Callithrix jacchus: one gene and its partner. The protein of the gene in region 1 purifies or fractionates together with the protein of each later gene. This does not show direct contact. Links are inferred from orthologs where the notes say so. Each region holds a gene or a part of one and is shown on either strand. Other genes may lie near its edges.

What was found. Proteins that work in one complex are often made in the same cells at the same time.
Region 2: the proteins of TNKS1BP1 (region 1) and CAPZA1 purify together in Homo sapiens (affinity purification with mass spectrometry; 3 studies listed by BioGRID and IntAct, with this or other methods). This does not show direct contact. The link is inferred for Callithrix jacchus from reciprocal best matches to the Homo sapiens genes TNKS1BP1 and CAPZA1.

What each region holds. Positions count from the first base shown.
Region 1 is NC_133511.1:114,883,428-114,887,078, reverse strand, and holds part of TNKS1BP1 (182 kDa tankyrase-1-binding protein), read left to right. Parts: intron 1-2,410; coding exon 2,411-3,651.
Region 2 is NC_133508.1:150,629,966-150,633,134, forward strand, and holds the end of CAPZA1 (F-actin-capping protein subunit alpha-1), read left to right. Parts: intron 1-489; coding exon 490-552; intron 553-936; coding exon 937-1,077; 3' UTR 1,078-2,554; downstream 2,555-3,169. UniProt on the Homo sapiens protein: F-actin-capping proteins bind in a Ca(2+)-independent manner to the fast growing ends of actin filaments (barbed end) thereby blocking the exchange of subunits at these ends.

The sequences.
Region 1 (3,651 bases):
AGAACAGGAAGCAAGGCCATCAGCTGAGAGAGGATTGGGGGAGGTGCCGGAGGTTTGATGGGAGAAGATGCTAAACCGTTGCCTGGGAGAGTCCTGCAGTGAATAGGAGGGGGGGTGCCCGGGGATTCTGGGCAGCTCTAGGGCCGGCTCGAGGTCAGTGTTGAATCTGAAGGGAGACCAGCCTTCATGGTTGTGTGTTTTTCTCCAGCCACATGTAGCTGCTCAGGTGTGGGGCTAGGACTGGCCCAGATGTCTTGGAGAGCTGTGTTTAAAACAGGTTAGACAGTGTGATGAAGCAGATGGGGGAGTGGAGCGTTGGGTAAAAAGTGACTTTAGCTAGGCGCGGTGGCTCACGCCTGTAATCCCAGCACTTTGGGAGGCTGAGGCAGGTGGGTCACGAGGTCAGGAGTTCGAGACCAGCCTGACTACATGGTGAAACCCTGTCTCTACTAAAAATACAAAAATTAGTCAGGTGTGGTGGTGTGCACCTGTTGTCCCAGATACTCAGGAGGCTGAGGCAGGAGAACTGCTTGAACCCAAGAGGCGGAGGTTGCAGTGAGCCGAGATCATGCCACTGCACTCCAGCCTGGGTGACAGAGTGAGACTCTGTCTCAAAAAAAAATAAGTGACTTTAATGACGATAAGAATAGAGGTGAGGGTATGAGGGGAGCGTGGGGACAATGAGAAAGAATTAGTGTTAAGGGACTGTGCTACCAGAGGGATCAAAATGAGGGCATTGGGGAAATAGAGTGAGCTGGACAGATAGGCAGTGGGGGTGGGTGAGCGGGGTATTTGGGATTGAGATGATGCAGGGGGTGCAGCCACTGGTAAGGATGAGGTCTACAGTATGACCTTGAAAAGATGGGTCACGCAGTCTCTGGGAAAGAGGAAGGCAATGAACCAGAGGCTGGAAGGGTCGCATCCGGCTATGGAGGTCACTGTAAGCTGTCACAGCAATGCTGGAGAGGGTTGCAGTGATCCATCGGTTATGGTTTTCAAGGAATGATGGGTGTGTAGGATCGATAACAAGAAGGAATTATGGGTGCTGTAGTTCAAGGGCACAGGCTTTGAAATTAGAATGCTGTAGAGGGGATTGAGCATGGAGGGAACAGAAGGGACCTTGAGCAGCAAGCAGGACCCGTTATTTTGCCCTACCTAGTGGGAGAAGCAGCTGCATGGGAGAGGGTGGCCAGGGAAGCTTGACCTCTGCAGAGGGCAAAGGTCAGGTGGAGCCAGACTCGCTTCATTGTCGGGGGACAGGTGGAGTGCCAGGTGCTTGGTGCCTCGTTTGCCCCCTTCTTCTCTCTACGCCCCCATTCTCTGCCCCCATCATCCCACAAATCCTATGCTGAGGACCAGTGCACACATTTTCCTACCCCTCACCTCACTGGGAGTTGGGCATGGTTGCCATCAGCCCTAATTTACAGATGGGGAAACCGAGGCTCAGAGAGACCAAGAGTCCACCATACTTGAGGGAGGGCACATCTTTTAAGAGGCAGTACTGGCCTGGCACGGTGGCTCACACCTGTAATCCCAGCACTTTGGGAGGCCGAGGCGGGTGGATCACCTGAGGTCGGGAATTCGAGACCAACCTGACCAACATGGAGAAACTCTGTCTCTACTAAAAATATGAAAAGTTAGCCTGGCATGGTAGCCCATGCCTGTAATTCCAGCTACTTGGGAGGCTGAGGCAGGAGAACTTCTTGGACCTGGGAGGTGGAGGTTGCAGTGAGCTGAGATCATGCCATTGCACTGCAGCCTGGGCAGCAAGAGTGAAACTCCCTCTCAAAAAAACGAAAACAAAAACAAACTAGCACTGTGACTGCTCGGGCCAGGTGCTGTCAGGTCCCCCAGTGCCTTTTGCTTGGGTCTCACGGCCTTCCTGCCTCCTTGGCACCTCTGGAGTGGCACGAGGAGTGCCCCTGCATGCCCTAGCCCCTCCTGTGAGCAGCTCTGTGGCTGCACTGCACCTCGAGTTCTGCTCTGAGGCAAAAACCCTCTCTCCCCTCCCGAATTCCACCTGCTGAGATGCCTGGAGAGTCAGATTCCCAATTTTCCTTTTCCCTTTATAAAGCAAATATTCTGGACCCCAAACTGGGGCCTCTGAGGAGATCCTCAGATGAGCTTTGGGTTGAGCTGGTGAGGGGTTCAAACCACCTGAAATGTCAGGAATTATGCTTAGTGAATAAGGCGAGGTGCATTCTGGGGAGCAGGTCTAAGGGGGGCTCTGTGAGAAGCCCTGCCTCAAGTCCTCTGTGGGGCCTCTCCCAGCAGCCCCGAGAGACTTCCTGGGGTTCCAGTTTCCTCCTCCCAGCCTGTGAGAAGCTGACCTGGGGTCTGTGTGGGATTGGAGGGGACCCTCCCCACCCCGCTGAGAGGTGAGTAATGGCACTTGATCTTTCTTTTGCAGATTTCCAAGCCCTGGATTGCCTCCAGTCCACCTCCCTCCTCTGAGAATGGAGGCTCTGCCAGCCCAGGCTGCCCGCTGGAAGCCTCAGGCCCAGGCCCTGGCTCTCCCCATCTTCACTCACTCAATAAGAGTTCTCCCTGCCACTCACAGCTTCTGGAAGCCCAGAGTCCTGAAGCTTCCCAGGCTTCTCCCTGCCCTGCTGGGACTCCATCAGCTCCAAGTGCAGTCCTACCTGACAAAGGCTCCCACCACACCCCCAGCCCAGAGCTCCCAGCTGAAGGGGCCCCAGAGGCCCCCAGACCCAGCAGCCCTCCCCATGAGGTCTTGGAGCCCCACAGTCTGGAACAGCCCCCTGCCACCTCGTCCCAGCCCCTGATCGAGGTGGGTGAGTTGCTGGATCTCACTCGGACGCTTCCATCTAGTGGGGAGGAGGCGGCCAAGGGTGACGCACTCCTCCGCCCCACCAGCCTGGTTCAGCGCCGATTCTCCGAAGGTGTGCTCCAGTCACCCAACCAGGACCAGGAGAAGCTGGGGGGCTCGCTGGCTGCCCTGCCCCAAGGCCAGGGAAGCCAGTTGGCCTTGGATCATCCCTTTGGAGCAGAGTCCAACTGGAGTTTATCACAGTCCTTCGAGTGGACCTTCCCCACGCGGCCCTCGGGTCTGGGAGTGTGGCGGCTGGACTCCCCGCCTCCCTCTCCCATCACTGAAGCCAGTGAGGCCGCCGAGGCTGCTGAGGCTGGCAACTTGGCCGTGTCCGGCAGAGAAGAAGGAGTGTTTAAGCAGGGGCAAGGGGCCTGGTCAACGCCAAGTGGATCAGAAAGGCCTAGTTCCTGGGTGCAGGGGGATGATCCAAGCATGTCCCTTACCCAAAAGGGGGATGGGGAGAGTCAACCTCAGTTCCCAGCTGTTCCCCTTGAGCCCCTACCTGCAGTTGAGGGCATGCCTGGATTACCTTTGCAGCAGGCAGAGGAGGGGTGTGAGTTGCAGGAGCCCCTGGCTGGACAGGAGTTCCCTCTCCCTCTGGCTACCAGGGAGGCAGCCCTGCCCGTCCTGGAGCCAGTCCTGGGGCAGGAGCAGCCAGCACCACCTGACCAGCCCTGTGTTCTCTTTGCTGATGCCCCTGAGCCTGGGCAGGCCCTGTCTGTTGAGGAGGAGGCTGTGACCCTAGCTCTGGCCGAGACCACCGAACCCAGGACAGAGGCTCAAGACTCCTGTAGGGTGTCCCCCGAGCCTGCGGGGCC
Region 2 (3,169 bases), on another chromosome or scaffold:
TTTTATATTTGAGCCACATAGTACAAAATGTGATTGGCTAGTTTAACATCTTAAGTGGCAAATAAAGGATATGTGAGCTTATGGTATAACTGATGTGTCTGAGGGCATTGTTCACATCATTTTAACCAGAAATATTTTCAGGGCGTCAAGTTTTCAAGACTTGATGATGTCTTTTGGGTGTACTCTGTGGTACGAGCATGGTTTTTTTGGTGAAGACCTAATTTCAGAATCCATCTTTATCATTCAAAAACTGTAATTTGGGTCAAGAAAACAGAGGGTTCTGTTTTCTAATCTGCAAAATGGGGGTTATGATTATAACATAGTCTCTTCCATGGAGTCGTGAGAATCAAAGGAGATAGTGGGCATGGAAACACTCGGGAAACTAGAAATTGTTATACAAATGTTAGTTAAGATGGAGTTACTTTTCAGGATCTTACTGCTTACACATTTTAAAACATCTGATTTTTCCGCTTTTCCTTCCTCCATTAGAATGAAGCCCAAACTGCCAAGGAGTTTATTAAAATCATAGAGAATGCAGAAAATGAGTATCAGGTAAGAAGATTTGGAGCTTATTTTTCTAGATCTACTATCTTACTATTTTGCTGTTAACATAGTTAGGCCTCCCTGTGTCCTTTAATGTAAATATACATGCTCTTCAGTTTTACTAAATGTGGAGACTTTGCAGACCTTCCAATTTGGCATTCTGCTTACAATCAGGGTTTCAGGATTGCTTGGGACTGTAGCTCTAGTTTTAGAAATAATATAGGTGAGCTTCTCGACCTACTTTAGAGGTTGGAGAGGAGCTCACTGAAAATAATATATCCTGTCTATCCTTCATAGGGGACTCAAGCATATCCTTTGACTGTAGCGTTACTTTCCTGTTCACAATCAGCCTCATTTCTGTTCAAGCAACTCATCTTCAATTATCTATTGCAGACAGCAATTAGTGAAAACTATCAAACAATGTCAGATACCACATTCAAGGCCTTGCGCCGGCAGCTTCCCGTTACCCGCACCAAAATCGACTGGAACAAGATACTCAGCTACAAGATTGGCAAAGAAATGCAGAATGCTTAAAGGCTGAATGTAGAATTCTCCAGTATGCAGAAAGACAAGGATTCAACGTGTGGTCATATAATAAATAAGTGATTTATAAACAAGAGTGATATTTTGCTAGGGCTTTCAAAGTTAACCAGTTTTCTAGCCTCAAGGAATACTGTTGAACCAATAGCATTGTCTTGATTCTTTTGTGTTCTCTGCCTTGTAATCTTCTGTTATTGCTATATCTACATGTAAATGTTTTTTTGTTGTTGTTGTTAATTCTGCCACATTTAATGTTGGAGAGAGAAAGATGTATCCTAGAGACATTTTACTGTTTAAAAAGGTTTCCTAGCCATGACCCTGTTACTGATGTAGACAAGGTATTATGGTCATTACTTTCTACCCCGTCCTTCCAAGCTCCAAGCACTTCTGGTACTTCAGTGGTTTTTACTGATCCACCAACACCTAAAAAGGCTATGCTACATCTATAGCTAAATGGAAGACACATTCATCCTTCTCCCTCTGCCTGCTTCGATCATCATTTATTGCATCTCATAACTGTAATTTTCCAAAGTTTGGATTGGGACTTTTCAAGTCCTTTTTGGAGGGTAAAGGAAGTGCCAGCTTCTCTGGGGAACTTGTTTTTAAATCCAAAGACTTGAACCACATTCCCTGCACATGAACGTGTTTGCTTTTATCCCTTCTCTTATTGTCTCCTTCCCATTTTAGTACCATTGTAGTTATAGATATCTGCATTTTTAGAAGGGTTTTACCCATTTATTTTTTTTAAACATTCAAGAACTGCTGACGTACTGTGGATATAGAGTATAAAACTTGAAAAATGCAGATGTTGAAGGAATAATAGGTATCTTGTGCTTTAATACTTTATGGCAGGATTGTACTATAAGCAAATGAATTAAACAGCTATGTAAATCACAAACAAAAACTAAAAATGAACCAAAGTGAAAAGGATAACTTCCAGGCAGTATCTTTCTATTGTAACCTGTTATTTAAGGAAATACTAGTGATTTCTTCTAAATAGGATGTAAAACTTATTTCAAATTACTCTTCCTCTGTCCTGCCTGCCAAGAACTCAAGTGTAACTGTGATAAAATAACCTCTCCCAGGTATATTGGCAGGTATGTGTGTAATCTCAGAATACACAGGTGACATAGATATGATATGACAACTGGTAATGGTGGATTCATTTACATTGTTTACACTTCAATGACCAGGCCTTAAGGGAAGGTCAGTTTTTTAAAAAATCAAGTAGTGTCTTCCTACCTATCTCCAGATACATGTCAAAAAAGAAAGGTGTTTGTGCTTCAGTTTTGTTTTTGCTCAGTAATATAGTCAAGCAACAGTTTGTTTCCCAGTGACCCATTGAGCTGTGTATGCATTTTTATTTCAAATAAAATATATTTGTATTATTTGTCATTCATACTATCCATCCATACCACACTATCTTCTGTATCAGGTAGTCTAATAGAAATATACCTGTTTTGTTCTAAAATTGTCTGAGCTCTCCTTTTTGATTCATCACTTCAGCCTTTGTTCTCAAGGTAAGATATTCAGCTGTATTGGATCTTATTTGCTGAGAATGTTTAGGGTTTCTGAAATTGGTTTTTGCCTTCAACTATTATGGACTCAGTGAATATCCAAAGATTTGTAAAGGACAGCCTCTTTAAGTATGAGCAATATCTATGGATCATGCTGCTCTTCACTCAGAGACGACCTGTTTTTCAAAGGGAAAAATGTAGTTGTCTTCTGGACCTGTCATTCAGAAAGCAAGGCCCAAGTATGGTCGTAGTCACTAGGCAGAGGTAGAAATGAAAGAATCCCTGCCTTAAACTTGCTAATATTTCACATTGGGTTATCTCAAAATGCTGCTTTCCTCTCCTTAGCTGACCTAGCTACAGACTTGTGGGAGAGGCTTTTTTTTTTATCCTGGTTCCCCAAAAAAGAACCAGAGGGAGTTTTGTGCTTCTTGTACTCCATCCAAGGCCAGTTCAAATTCCCACCTTTTTGAGAAACACTTAGCTGCATTCCATTCTACTTGTAATGCAAATAGATTCAAACATTCTTGCTTTTAATTTATTAACTCTCTCATCTTGCCTTCAGGCTATCC